Macaca mulatta: one gene and its partners. The protein of the gene in region 1 binds, or shares a complex with, the protein of each later gene. Links are inferred from orthologs where the notes say so. Each region holds a gene or a part of one and is shown in the gene's direction. Other genes may lie near its edges.

Region 1 (5,382 bases):
GTGATGGTTCCAGATGTGTACATCTCAGATGATGGGGGTTACTCCTGGACAAAGATGCTGGAAGGACCCCACTATTACACCATCCTGGATTCTGGAGGCATCATTGTGGCCATTGAGCACAGCAGCCGTCCTATCAATGTGATTAAGTATGCATGAACTCATCTCACACACATTGTCTGCATAGAGGGCAACTTGGGGGATGGTCTTCAGTTTATTGGGGGGATGTTACAGACTATAATTCAAATTTTTGCATTTGACAGAACTATAGATAAGATTCTAGAAAGGATTGCTTTTAAAATGGCGTTGTTTTTTCGTCTCACTGCCTCTAGCTAACATATTTGTCACTTCTTAAAAACATTCTTTCTGGGTTGGGCGCAGTGGCTCATGCCTTTAATCCCAGCACTTTGGGAGGCCAAAGCAGGAGGATCACTTGAGCCCAGGAGTTCAAGACCAGCCTGGGCAACATAGGGAGACCCTGTCTCTAATATTATTTCAATTTAAAAAAAAAAATATATATATATATATATTCTTTCTGTCTACAAAATTATTATGGAAGCGTTCAAGCACTCTAGATTGAAAATGACTTCTTAAGTATAAGTTCTGAGCCGGGTATGGTGGCACACACCTGTAATCCCAGCACTTTGAGAGGCCAAGGTGGGTGGATCGCTTGAGCCAGGAGTTCAAGACTAGCCTGGGCAATGTGACAAACCGCTGTCTCCATAAAAAAAAGAAAAATTAGCTGGATGTGGTGGTGCATGCCTTTGGTTCCAGCTACTTGGGAGGCCGAGGTGGGAGGATCACCTGAGGAGGTCGAGGCCACAGTGAGCCGAGATCATACCACTGCACTCCAGCCTGGGTGACAGAGTGAGATCCTGTCTCAAAGAAAAAAAGAAGTATAAGTTCTTATAAAATAATTTGATTGTTATTTATTTATTTATTCATTGAGATGGAGTTTCGCTGTTGTCACCCAAGCTGGAGTGCAGTGGTGCAATCTTGGCTCACTGCAACCTCCCGCCGCCCAGGTTCAAGTGATTCTTGTGTCTCAGTCACCTGAGCAGCTGAGATTACAGGCATGCACCACCACACCCAGCTAAATTTTGTGAGTTTTTTTTTTTTTTTTTTGGTAGAGATGGGGTTTTGTCATGTTGGTCAGGCTATTCTTGAACTCCTGACCTCAGGTGATTCACCTGCCTCAGCCTCCCAAAATGCTGGGATTACAGGCGTGCACCACCACAGCCAGCCTTAAATTTATTAATTTAAAAGCCACTTCTTACCTGGGTCACTCTCCTGTCTTTCCTTTGAAATAATTTCTGCAAAGATATTTACTTTCATACTCTCTCTGAACAAATCTCTTTTGCTTATCCTGTTAACCACAGACATTAAAAGTAAAAATAGTTGGCCGGGTGCGGTGGCTCACACCGATTATCTTGGGAGGCCAAGGCGGGAAGATTACCTGAGATCAAGAGTTCGAGACCAGCCTGCGCAACATGTGAAACTCCATTTCTACTAAAAATACAAAAATTAGCTGGGTGTGGTAGCACGTGCCTGTAATCCCAGCTACTCGGGAGGCTAAGGCATGAGAATCTCTTGAACCCACGAGGCAGAGGTTGCAGTGAGCCGAGATCGTGCCACTGCACTCCAGCCTGGTGACAGAGTGACACTCCATCTCAGAAAAAAAAAAAAAAAAAGATTAAAATAGTTGTCAGCCAATAAGCCATCACCTAAATGTGTAAGGGGTTTTGTCTGGTTTGGGGTCAAAAAGCCAGAGTGGTTTTCTGAATTCCCAGTATACGTGGATCCTCTGTCATGATCTTTCTCTAATCGTGGTTTCAGGTTCTCCACAGACGAAGGTCAGTGCTGGCAAACCTACACGTTCACCAGGGACCCCATCTATTTCACTGGCCTAGCTTCAGAACCTGGAGCGAGGTCCATGAATATCAGTATTTGGGGCTTCACAGAATCTTTCCTGACCAGCCAGTGGGTCTCCTACACCATTGATTTTAAAGATATCCTTGAAAGGAACTGTGAGTGTCTCCTTTGACCTTTTCTACCAGCAACCTAAGCCTATTTTCCTAAATAATCAATATGGTTTGATTTCTGTTAGCTGGAATCAGCAGATGCATATTCACATGAAAGAGGATTGACAGATGTTCTGTGCGGGTGATTAAGTAATGGAATGGCATCAGAAAAACAGCCTCCTCCTTGGTGCTAGCACTGTCCAGGAGAAATATGAGGGTCACATATGTCATTTAAATTATTCTGTCAGTTACATTATAAAAGTAAAAAGAAAGGTGATATTAATAAAATAAACTTAATATATACAAAATATTATTTCAACATTAAGCAGTATTAAAGGACCAGAAAATAGCTTCAGAAAAAGATTCATAATGTTCATTACACAGTGTTCCCGAAGTGTCACAAGCAAACCCTGATCTCAGTGCCAAACAAAGGTGCTGGCATTATATAAGAAATAAGGGGAATGGCCAGGCGCAGTGGCTCATGCCTGTAATCCTAGCACTTTGGGAGGCCAAGATGGGCAGATCACGAGGTCAGGAGTTCGAGACCAGCCTGGCCAACAGGGCGAAACCCCGTCTCTACTAAAAATACAAAAATTAGCCAGGTGAGGTGGCGGGTGCCTGTAATCCCAGCTAGTCGGGAGGCTGGGGCAGGAGAATCATTTGAACCCGGGATGAAGAGGTTGTAGTGAGCCAAGATCGTGCCATTGCACTCCAGCCTGGGTGACAAGAGCAAGACTCCATCTCAAAAAAAAAAAAAAAAAGAAGGGGGATAAAGGAAAACACTGGAAAAAGGATGACCTGTAGTTAAGTGTTGGCATGATGCAATAAAAGACTTAACATTTCCAGACACTTTAGTTGAATTTGGTTCTTTGAGACTCGTGAGCTCATTTCCTCAGTGTGTTGATTTAGTGACTCCTGAGGGAGCAGACCCTTGGTTTGGACCTTACTTTTCCATAAGACGTTCAAATAGATTTAATGCCTGAGGGTCGCTGTCATTTAAATCCATTCAGTAGTCTGTACAGAAGCTGGCTTGGGAGTTCTCCCCTCAGCAGGCAGTTTTCCAGTTACCCCTAAAGTTTAATGTCATTAAAAGATTTGTTAGGCACCTGCTCTTTAGCAGGATCTATGCTGGTCTTCATTTCCCGAAGGATAAAACCTAATCCACTGTCTTTAGGTCACAGCCTTTGAGTCGTTTTTCCAGTAGATGATACGACATACTAAGCCAGAAACTAGGTTCATCAGCAATCTGCATTTGAGAGCCGGTCAATTGGAGCTAGAAGTCTAGGAAGAGGATGTTTTCCCTTCTGCCTTAAGCCAGTGAACACATGGTGAAATTGAACCTGTGTTCTTGGCTAATTAGTCTTGTCCTAAACAAAGAGCTCCCTGGCCCTGAGTGGAAAATATCTGGTTGCTTACATCTGACAGCTCCTTGACTGAGGGCGTAGGTGTGCAAGACACACAGACAACAGCCTCTTAGTTTGGAAGGAACTAGAGAGATTTTCTATCCAGCTCCCACTTCAAAACAAGTAGGGTTTTTCCTAATCCTCAGATGGATGTTGAGATGGAAAGAATATTCTTTTGGCATGAGGAAATGCAATTGCTAGTAGGCTCTAGACTAGTGTAGCTTTCTGTTTGCAATTCCAAAATGAAGGAATAGGTTGAGTCAGACATTCCCACTTTCCCTCTCCTTGTTCTACCTATAGCCTGGCAGCTGCCTCCCGTGGGTGGGTTCTGTGCTGTGCACTTTTCCTGAACAGTCTGTCTCTCATTCAGGTGAAGAGAAGGACTATACCATATGGCTGGCACACTCCACAGACCCTGAAGATTATGAAGATGGCTGCATTTTGGGCTATAAAGAACAGTTTCTGCGGCTACGCAAGTCATCCGTGTGTCAGAATGGTCGAGACTATGTTGTGACCAAGCAGCCCTCCATCTGCCTCTGTTCCCTGGAGGACTTTCTCTGGTATCGGCATTCCTCAGATTTCTCTATCTCCCCTTCCCTGTTGGAGGAGGTGAAAGACAGTTTTCTTATAGGCTAACAAATATTGAAATCCAACCGGGCACCGTGGCTCACACCTGTAATCCCAGCACTTTGGGAGGTCGAGGCAGGTGGATCACTTCAGGCCAGGAGTTCGAGGTCAGCTTGGCCAACATGGTGAAACTCTGTCTCTACAAAAAAAAAAAATTAGCTGGGTGTGGTGGCACATGCCTGTAATCCCAGCTGCTCAGGTGGCTGAGACACAAGAATCACTTGAACTTGGGAGGCAGAGGTTGCAGTGAGCCAAGATCGCGCCATTGCACTCCAGCCGGGGCGACAGAGCGAGACTCTTGTCCCAAAAGAAATTGAAACCCTTTTCTCCAAGAGTGGAGAACTGCTGCTTCTTATCAAGGAAACTGAGGCACAGAGAAAGGAAACCAAAATTGTTAATAATTAGATAATATAATCATATTAGACAGTTAATGGGCAGAACCAGCAACGAACCCCAGAAATCCTGAGTTGACAGTGGTGGGAAGGAGAGAAGTGATATAAGAAAGAAGAGAAGCCAGGCGTGGTGGCTCACGCCTGTAATCCCAGCACTGTGGGAGGCCGCGGCAGGCAGATCATGAGGTCAAGAGATCGAGACCATCCTGGCTAACATGGTGAAACCCCATCTCTACTAAAAAATACAAAAAACTAGCTGGGCGTGGTCGGGGGCTCCTGTAGTCCCAGCTGCTTGGGAGGCTGAGGCAGGAGAATGGCATGAACCCGGGAGGCAGAGCTTGCAGTGAGCCGAGATCACGCCACTGCACTCCAGCCTAGGGGACAGAGTGAGACTCTGTCTCAAAAAAAAAAAAAAGAAGAGAATAAAACAAAAATCTGTAGGAAATAAAGACAAAAACACCAAAAGAAGTGGTAGAGGAGCAAAGAGGAAATTGGACTTTAGAAAATAGCCTGAGGCCCGGCACGGTGGCTCATGCCTGTAATCCCAACACTTTGGGAGGCCAAGGAGGGTGGATTGCTTAAACTCAGGAGTTTGAGACCAGCTTGGGCAATATGACAAGACCCCATCTCAAACGAAAACAAAGAAAGAGAAAGAAAACTCCCTGACAGCATGAGCTCGGCAGGCGGACACTAGGTTTTGGATCCTCTGCAAGAATCAAGGCAGAGAGATGGTGGTTGGTCCTGAGACTAGAGGTGACATCAGTATAGTCATGGTCCCATTAAGGTTTAGAGGCCATCAAAGTGGACTCCCTAGAGTTCAGGACCATCCAGACTTAAGGATTAGTTACTTGGCTGGCATCGGGTTAGTTGATTATATAAGGGCATGAGTCCCTGGATAGCTTAAATGAGGTAATTTTGGGGCAAATAAGAGGAACTGCTTCA
Region 2 (4,766 bases), on another chromosome or scaffold:
TGCAGATGGGCAATCCTGCTTCCAAAGATCAGGTGCAGCCGGGATGTGGGTGCAGGGCAGACAGACGGGCAGCATGTAGAGCCTGGAACCCAGGAGCCCAGCTGGCGGGGCAGCCCCGATTCCTGCCCTCGTGCCCTCATTCATGTGGCATCTGTACTAAGCAACACCCCTGCTGTAGACAGAGGTGCAGCACTGGGGATAGGAGGGGCAGGAGAAAGTGCAAGACTCCAAGTCCAGGCATTGTGGGGGTGGGGAAAGGTAAAGCTGAGCCGATCTAATGCCAACCCATCATCAGTGGGTGCCCCTTCCCCATGCCATCTTGCTGAGGGAGGGACTGGATTGTGAGGAGGGTGAGTTAGGCATGCCTAGGAGATCACTGAGCCCTAGTGTCACCCCCAAACCCCAGTAGCTGGGCTTGCAGGCCCTGGTGCCACCAGCTCTGTGCGCGATGGGGCAGTCACCTTCCCTGAGTGGGCTGGTAGAATCCCGGGTCACCTTGTCCACAGGTAACAACTCCGTGGGTGCCGTCCAGTGCCCTGATAGTCAGTTTGAATGCCCGGACCTCTCCACGTGCTGCATTATGGTCGATGGCTCCTGGGGGTGCTGCCCCATGCCCCAGGTACAAATCTGGGGAGACGGGGGTACGTGGAGGGAGGTGGGGGCAGAGGGTGGGGGCCAGGGGCAAGGGGTGAAGACGGAGTCAGGACCATTTTTTCTCAGGCTTCCTGCTGTGAAGACAGGGTGCACTGCTGTCCGCATGGTGCCTTCTGCGACCTGGTTCACACCCGCTGCATCACACCCACGGGCACCCACCCACTGGCAAAGAAGATCCCTGCCCAAAGGAGTAACAGGGCAGGTGAGGAGGTGGGAGAGCATCAGGCCAGGGGCTGGGGTGGGGCCTCATTGACTCCAAGTGTGGCAAAAAGTTCCCTCCACCCTGGCTGCCCCTCACACTTGCTTCTCTTCCAGTGGCTTTGTCCAGCTCAGTCATGTGTCCGGATGCACGGTCCCAGTGCCCTGATGGTTCTACCTGCTGTGAGCTGCCCAGTGGGAAGTATGGCTGCTGCCCAATGCCCAATGTGAGTGAGGGGCTGGAGCCAGCTTGGCTGTGTGCCCCCAGCCACTTGGCCCTGACATGCACCTTACGGGGCTCTGGGGCATGGGGCTGGCTGGCTGCTTGCTGGGAGCCTGGCTGATGCAGGGTTCATGCCACCCCCTAGTGGAGGATTGGGGCAGTGCCAGCCATCAGCCTGGCTGCTCCCTGTGCTCTGCTGAGCCTGGAAGTGACAAAGACTCACCCGTCCCCACCCAGGCCATGTGCTGCTCCGACCACCTGCACTGCTGCCCCCAAGACACTGTGTGTGACCTGATCCAGAGTAAGTGCCTCTCCAAGGAGAACACTACCATGGACCTCCTCACTAAGCTGCCTGCACAAACAGGTACCAGAGGCAGGGCACAGATACAGGGGTGGGGCCCTCTTTCCTCCCTTTTAGGCCTGGCCTTAGGATCACTGCAAGGTGGTGTAGGTGGTGCCCTCCATCTTCAACACCTGGTGCCAGCTGTGGAGCCGGCAAAGGGTGGATACCGCTGAGGGTCCCCAGTGCCACTTCTGATCTGTCCTCTCTGCCTCCCTCACAGTGGGAGACGTGAAATGTGACATGGAGGTGAGCTGCCCAGATGGCTATACCTGCTGCCGTCTACAGTCGGGGGCCTGGGGCTGCTGCCCTTTTACCCAGGTACCCAGGGGTGGTGGGTGGGTGCGCTGAGCAGTGTGGCAGCCAACTGGGCCCCAGTGCCCACTGGCCCTTCTCCATCTGCCCTAGGCTGTGTGCTGTGAGGACCATATACACTGCTGTCCCGCGGGGTTTACGTGTGACACGCAGAAGGGTACCTGTGAACAGGGAACTTACCAGGTGTCCTGGATGGAGAAGACCCTAGCTCACCTCAGCCTGCCAGACCCGCAAGCCTTGAAGAGAGATGTCCCCTGTGATAATGTCACCAGCTGTCCCCCCTCCAATACCTGCTGCCAACTCATGTCTGGAGAGTGGGGCTGCTGTCCAGTCCCAGAGGTACATGGGAGGGGACAGCATCGTGGCCTGGGCAGGTGGGTGGCCAAACTCCTATTGCTTTCCGCCCTCCGCATGGCCAGTAGGTGACACCCAGCTCTGTCAGATTCGTTCCCAGCTGGAGGTGCTGTAAGCAGGAGAGGCGGGCTGGAGTAGGTAGGGGCTCGGCACTGTGCCCCACCCCACATAGTGACTACCTAGAACGCCCTTTCCTGCCCACCCCCCAGGCTGTCTGCTGCTCGGACCACCAGCACTGCTGCCCCCAGGGCTACACGTGTGTAGCCGAGGGGCGGTGTCAGCGGGGAAGCGAGATCGTGGCTGGACTGGAGAAGATGCCTGCCCGCCAGGCTTCCTTATCCCACCCCAGAGACATGGGCTGTGACCAGCACACCAGCTGCCCAGTGGGGCAGACCTGCTGCCCAAGCCTGGGTGGGGGCTGGGCCTGCTGCCAGTTGCCCCACGTGAGTACCTCCCTGCCTGCCCCTGGATAGGGGAGCTAAGCCCGGCGAGGGGACAGGAATGTAACGCCATTCTGTGCTCCCTTCCCCGCCAGGCTGTGTGCTGCGAGGATCGCCAGCACTGCTGCCCGGCTGGCTACACCTGCAACGTGAAGGCCCGATCCTGCGAGAAGGAAGTGGTCTCTGCCCAGCCTGCCACCTTCCTGGCCCGTAGCCCTCACGTGGGTGTGCAGGACGTGGAGTGTGGGGGAGGGCACTTCTGCCATGATAACCAGACCTGCTGCCGAGACAACCGAGGGGGCTGGGCCTGCTGTCCCTACCGCCAGGTGAGTGCCATCCCCCACCCTGGGGCTGGGTATGGCCAGGGACCAGGTCCCACCTCATCCAACCCTCTCACCCCCCTCTGACCACCCAGGGCATCTGTTGTGCTGATCGGCGCCACTGCTGTCCTGCTGGCTTCCGCTGCGCAGCCAGGGGCGCCAAGTGTTTGCGCAGGGAGGCCCTGCGCTGGGACGCCCCTTTGAGGGACCCAGCCTTGAGACAGCTGCTGTGAGGGACACTACTGAAGACTCTGCAGCCCTCGGTACCCCACTCGGTGGGTGCCCTCTGCTCAGGCCTCCCTAGCACCTCTCCCCAACCAAATTCTCCCTGGCCCCCATTCTGAGCTCCCTATTACCATGGGAGGTGGGGCCTCAATCTAAGGCCTTCCCTGTCAGAAAGGGGTTGTGGCAAAAGCCACATTACAAGCTGCCATCCCCTCCCCATTTCTGTGGACCCTGTGGCCAGGTGCTTTTCCCTATCCACAGGGGTGTTTGTGTGTGTGCGTGTGTGAGTTCCAATAAAGTTTGTACACTTTCTTAAAAGTGTCTGATTTGCCGCCCTGCCTGCCCTCCCCAGGGCCCCAGAGCAAGGGTTCATGTCCACTGCCAACACTCCCTTCCCCTACCCCACAGAAAGACACACACAGCCTTAACCTCACCAGTTTTGTATTTGCTGCTGCCCACATCGGCTGTATCACATTACCCCCTAGTCCCCAGAGCTGTCCCAGCCACCAGCCCTGTGACATCGTAGCCCAGAGATGGGCTAGTCAGCAAGCAGCACCCCCTCCCCTCCCAGGGGTCCAGAGAGAACGCCCCCTCCCTTCCCAGCCCTCACACTAGCAGCTGAGGCTGGGTCACCCCTCCTGCTTTCCCACAATAGAGCTTTCTATGTACAGCCACGTCTACACAGGCACTGCTTCCCCCCAGCCCTCCTCCCCGGCACCTCCCCTTGGGGGCTGGACCCCCCTTCCTCCCCGGCTTGGAGGCAGACACAGGGTCCCTTGCAAGACACAACCCAGCACCTACCACGGAACGGCTCCAAGGCCCCTGGGCCCCTCTCCAGCCTGGGCCTGGGGGCTACGCGCGAGGGCCCCCGCAGGCCCCGGGGGCGCGCACCCTGGGTGCGGGCTCGCGCGGGAGGGGCGGTGCCAGGCCCGGCGCCGGCGCTACTTGACGTTGAACACCATCAGCGGCCGCTCCTCCCGCCGCTGCCACGGGCTCTTCTTGTCGCCGGCCTCGTCGCCCACCTCCGTCCCCAGCTCGTCCTCCGGGCTGGTGAGCGAGTCGCGCCGCAGCTCGCTGGCGCTGCTGCGGGAGCTGTCCCCGCGGCTGCGGCCCCGCCCCCGGGGTACCGTGGCCGCCCGGCCCTCGGGCGCCGCCACCTCGTCCAGCAGCGGCGTCAGCGAGTTGTCCTCTGGAGAGCAGAGACCCGTGCGGCTCTCGCTGCTGCTGGGCTCCGTGTCCTCGCTGAGCGCCAGGCGCGGGGGCGCGGGCGGCGGCGGCGGCGCGGCAGGCGGGGCGCGCTCCCGCTCCTCCCTCGCGGGCCGGCGGCGCGCGGGCCGCGCCTCGTGCACATCGACGCCCGAGTCCAGGCTGGCGTCGGTGCTGCGGGCCCCGCCGCCCGCCTGCAGGTCGATGTAAGAGTGGCGCACTTGCGAGTTGGAGCGCCCGTCGAGGGACACGAACCAGGCGCGCGGGTGCGGCTTCACGCCCAGTTCCAGTAGCTTCTTCTCGGTCAGGGCCTGCAGCTCCCCGTTGAGCTGCGCCATGGTGGACTCGTTGAACAGCACAGGGATGGTGACCGAGCCACTGACGGGCGCCGCGCGCCCGGCCCCCCAGCCCTCGCCGCCGCCCCCGCCGCCCTCGCCCCCCGGGCCTGAGTGGCCCTGCATCTGCGGGCGCTGGGGATCGGGCTGCGGAAA
Region 3 (4,232 bases), on another chromosome or scaffold:
AATATGCATATTTTCTATATAGGTAAACTATGGCTGGTAAGAAATAAACTACTCTAGCATATTTGGTAAAATATGTGTTATACAATATAATCACATTTTAAAAATCTGAAATTCAAAGTTTAAACAACTCGAAGTCATCAACAGCTGTCTGAACAAATAATCATATGCTTATTTTCTTAGAAGTGCTTCTACTATTTTAGCTTCCTATTATGCTAAAATATACCTAAAATTTGTTTTTTAAGATTACTATTTTTAAGAAAATACATAAGAAAGACATTAACCTCTAAGACTACTTTTTAAAATTAACCTAAAATCTGTAGATTATGATATAATTATATGATATGTGATTATAGTAAACCTGATTTTGATTTTACTCAGATTCAGAGGAGGAAATGAAAGCATTAGAAGCAGATTTATTGACCAGCATGCATACATCAAAGGTAACTTTTTCTTTTCTTTAACTCTGGGTTGAAGAACATATGAACTTTCATTATCAATATGGTATCCTTTTCCTATAGTAATAACTTCCCATCCAGATTTAAAAGTTCCTTAAGAGGCATTTCCTTTTTGAAAAAAAAAACTCTTTTAGTTAAAAGAAGTTAAAGGTGTTGATATGACAGGTAAAGAAATTATAGTTCTATCAATCAGTATTTTGCAATTTTAATTAATTGCCACACATATTTACGTGCCTGTAAATGTTTTTAAAGGAACTTGTTTCCATGCCTTTTACATTGGGTATGAAGAAAGGTATATTGGTCTCAGTTTAAATGAAAACAAAGTGAGCTCTTTGCCTTTGTTTATTATATTGGGGGAAATAAAAAGGTGTTTTTTTATTTCCTTAAATTAGAAATAACAGTTCATTACAACCTGCAGAAGAAATGTAGTAGAGAGGTGAGAGCAATGGACTGGCAAGCAGGAGCACTGAGATCTAATCCTGAAACAGTGACTTATTAAATATTTTATCTTTAGCAAGTGGATTAGTTTACCTTGCTTACCTGTGTTTCCTTGTTTTTAAATGCAGCTCATAGTCTTCTAGACATTTACCATTCTATAATGTATTTAGGAGTTACTAAACTGTACTCTTCATTGTATGTCTGGATTTAATTCTCCCTATACCAGACACGTTATTTTCACATGTTCTAATTCTTTTTTCTTTAATTGAGCCAAATACAACTTTGTATTCTGGGCCCTATTACTCCTCTGCTGGGGTCTTGAAAGCAAGTTTCTAAAATTCCAATCCGTACCTAGGAATACGTTCTGCGGTACATGTGCAGGATGTGCAGGTTTGTTACATAGGTAAAGGTGTGCTGTGGTGGTTTGCTGCACCTATCAACCCATCACCTAGGTATTAAGCCTAGCATGCATTAGCTATTTTTCCTAATGCTCTTGCTTCCTCCACCCCACCCTCTGACAGGCCCCAGTGTGGGTTGTTCCCCTCCCTGTGCCCATGTGTTCTCATTGTTTAGTACTCAATCAGAATACTAATGGCTACAACATCTTCAGTTCAAAAATAGACAACGGAAGTTAATAGTCTGTGTTAGAAAATGGGATAAGTTACGTGCCTTGGTGTCTTGGTATAGATTTACCTAATTCCCAGGTGCAAGTTAATACATAAAGGTCCTAAATAATCTGTGATGCTACCCATAACAATTATTAATGTGTGGAATGCATTACTATCTTCATGCTTTGTAATTGTCCACATTTAATAATACCATCTTTGTCACTGCCCCATTAAACATTAAGCTGAAATGTAATAGATATGGAATAATTTTTTATTTTTAATTTTTCATCTGTGATATATATATCATATTTATATATTTCTGATGTCATTTTAATTTCCTTGCTTTTTTACTTTGCTCTGTGTGTATACACATAAGTGCATGTGTATGTGAATATGACTATTGCGTTTTGTTAAATAGAATTTATGAGATATTGGCACTATACAACTTTGTGAACATGATGTTACTAAATAAATAACACTGTGTTTATTAGACTGGAGTAGCAATTAGACCCTAAATGTGATGGTTTAGCACACTGGGAATTCATTTCTTGCTCATGTAACACAAGTTTTAATTACAGGGTTTTTTTTTTTTTTAATTTTATGTTTCAGATTAGTAAAGCACATGTTCCCTCTTGGAAGATGACTCTGCTAAATGTTTGCAGTCTTGTAAATAATTTGAACAGCCCAGCTGAGGAAACAGGAGAAGTTCATGAAGAGCAGCTTATTACAAGAAGGAAACTTCCCACTGCTTTAGATGGCTTTAGCTTGGAAGCAATGTTGACAATATACCAGCTCCACAAAATCTGTCACAGCAGGGCTTTTCAACACTGGGAGGTATAGCAATAACAAAATATTAATATGATTATAGTTACACTAGTTAACTGTCATTTGTATTGATTTATTAAATTCCCAATCATAATCATAACAAGAAGAGTTACAAGTATTGAAGAAGAACAAGCCACGTGTTGAAGTCAACATTGCTTCAAATCTTCAAAGTGTCCTTCAAATATTTGAAACTGAGCAAAATATGTTTTTCTTCAACCTTAAAAATAGGATATATCTTCAGGCAGATTTGATCTACATGTTTTTATTATGCTTAAGTGGATGGCATGTTTAGGCAATTTTTGTTGTTGTAGGTGGTGGCATGTCTAACAAATTTAAGCAACTCAAAATGTTGTCTTAGAAACACAAAGTCATGTGTAGTGATCTATAAACAAACTGGATTTATAAATCTATAAACAAAGTAATCCAAGTAAAACTGGAATAAAACATAAAGTTTTCCATTTGTATTTGAATATATTAGGCAAATAAAAAATATATTTTTATGTATATACAAATATAAGATAAGGATGTATTACATTGTTGCAAAAGTAATTGTGGTTCTTGCCATTACTTTTGCCATTACTGTTGATGGCAAAAACCACAATTACTTTTGCACCAAGCTAATATATCTCTATTATTCCAGTTTTATCTGGAACCTGTTGTGTTTGAATATATTAGGCAAATAAAAGTATTTTTAATTTATATAAAGGTATATATAATAGGGATATATATCTGCCCATCATTTCAGTTTATTTGGAAACCTTTGTGTTCTGTGTTTGTTTATAAATACACACCAGTGTGTAATAATGTACTTGCAAAATGCTTTACAATTTATTGCCTTCATTGATATATTTTGCTCTGAAATATAAATTACAGCTTTGAGAAGATATAGAACAATGTTAGGATAAAGAAGAGGAGGGGGAAGAAAAATAAATTCTTCAACAAAAACAAACCAGATGTTTAAAAATTTCTGACAAGGGAAACATTTCTTTCAAATTAACCTCTAAGAGAAATTTGGTCAATATTTTATATTCTGGATTTACACTAGCATTGGAGATCTGAGAGTGCCTTCCCTGCTAATCTAATAAACTTGTGATTGACTACCAAAGAGCTACCCTGTAGATAAGAAGAAGTGCAGGCAGAATTTCTAGTGTTTATTATAACTGGTAAGCAAAAAGATAAATAAACAAAAAACTGAAAAGATCAGTTTTAAATTTACTATTAATTATTTAATTTAAATTTCTGGTAAATTGTTTAGTATTTAAAATATGTTTTGGCTGGGCATGGTGGCTCACGCCTGGAATCCCAGTAGTTTGTGAGGCTGAGGCGGACTGATCACTAGGTCAGGAGATCGAGACCATCCTGGCTAACACGGTGAAATCTCGTCTCCACTAAAACTACAAAAAATTAGCCGGGCGTGGTGGCCGGCGCCTGTCGTCCCAGCTACTCAGGAGGCTGAGGCAGGAGAATGGCGTGAACTCGGGAGGCGGAGCTTGCAGTGAACCTAGATCGCACCACTACACTCCTGCCTATATTTTTATATAGGAAAATGTCCATTATATGTTACTTACCCCCCCCAAAAAAAATCCTCAATAAACTACTATGTAGACCAATTCTACTATGTAGAATGGTTTTCATGTCAAATCAGTAACTGACTTAATTGAATATAAAATTTTGTTACCTTTGTTGCCAAACTTGGTTTACCAGATCAAAAACTATATTGAAATATATATTTCATACTTTTGGCATTTCCATCATAAATTGAAGCCTGAAAAGTACTCAAAGGTCTATTTGGTGTTTTTCTACAAAAGGTGGGATTAGTGTACAGTCTTGAAATACATAACTAGTAAAGTATATAGAAATTTTTTAAAAGAGCTAGCCTGGTGAACTAGGAAGAATCCTGAACTGA

What was found.
Region 2: the proteins of SORT1 (region 1) and GRN are in contact, whole or in part, in a crystal structure (PDB 8T8S), measured with the Homo sapiens proteins. The link is inferred for Macaca mulatta from reciprocal best matches to the Homo sapiens genes SORT1 and GRN. Residues at the interface, in NP_002950.3 of Homo sapiens: Leu108, Gly110, Ser111, Val112, Ser113, Leu114, Ile174, Gly175, Pro176, Lys260, Tyr304, Ser305, Phe306, Gly307, Leu308, Phe314, Ala315, Ser316, Arg325, Ile327, Phe350, Tyr351, Ser352, Ile353, Leu354, Tyr395, Thr398, Gly399, Thr402, Phe404; in NP_002078.1 of Homo sapiens: Pro578, Arg579, Trp580, Asp581, Ala582, Pro583, Arg585, Arg590, Gln591, Leu592, Leu593.
Region 3: the proteins of SORT1 (region 1) and NTS are in contact, whole or in part, in a crystal structure (PDB 4PO7), measured with the Homo sapiens proteins. The link is inferred for Macaca mulatta from reciprocal best matches to the Homo sapiens genes SORT1 and NTS. Residues at the interface, in NP_002950.3 of Homo sapiens: Val112, Ser113, Leu114, Ser115, Trp116, Lys260, Tyr304, Ser305, Phe306, Gly307, Leu308, Phe314, Ser316, Arg325, Ile327, Phe350, Tyr351, Ser352, Ile353, Tyr395, Gly399, Thr570, Gly571, Leu572, Ala573, Trp586, Trp597; in NP_006174.1 of Homo sapiens: Leu152, Tyr153, Glu154, Asn155, Pro160, Tyr161, Ile162, Leu163.

What each region holds. Positions count from the first base shown.
Region 1 is NC_133406.1:130,881,101-130,886,482, forward strand, and holds part of SORT1 (sortilin), read left to right. Parts: coding exon 1-146; intron 147-1,833; coding exon 1,834-2,024; intron 2,025-3,791; coding exon 3,792-3,981; intron 3,982-5,382.
Region 2 is NC_133421.1:68,728,180-68,732,945, forward strand, and holds the end of GRN (progranulin), read left to right. Parts: coding exon 1-32; intron 33-506; coding exon 507-619; intron 620-720; coding exon 721-856; intron 857-969; coding exon 970-1,079; intron 1,080-1,312; coding exon 1,313-1,439; intron 1,440-1,638; coding exon 1,639-1,736; intron 1,737-1,823; coding exon 1,824-2,069; intron 2,070-2,293; coding exon 2,294-2,527; intron 2,528-2,619; coding exon 2,620-2,850; intron 2,851-2,939; coding exon 2,940-3,077; 3' UTR 3,078-3,387; downstream 3,388-4,766. Other genes in the region: protein FAM171A2, read right to left, coding at 4,011-4,766. UniProt on the Homo sapiens protein: Secreted protein that acts as a key regulator of lysosomal function and as a growth factor involved in inflammation, wound healing and cell proliferation. Regulates protein trafficking to lysosomes, and also the activity of lysosomal enzymes.
Region 3 is NC_133416.1:93,073,405-93,077,636, forward strand, and holds part of NTS (neurotensin/neuromedin N), read left to right. Parts: intron 1-378; coding exon 379-440; intron 441-2,110; coding exon 2,111-2,335; intron 2,336-4,232. UniProt on the Homo sapiens protein: Neurotensin may play an endocrine or paracrine role in the regulation of fat metabolism. It causes contraction of smooth muscle.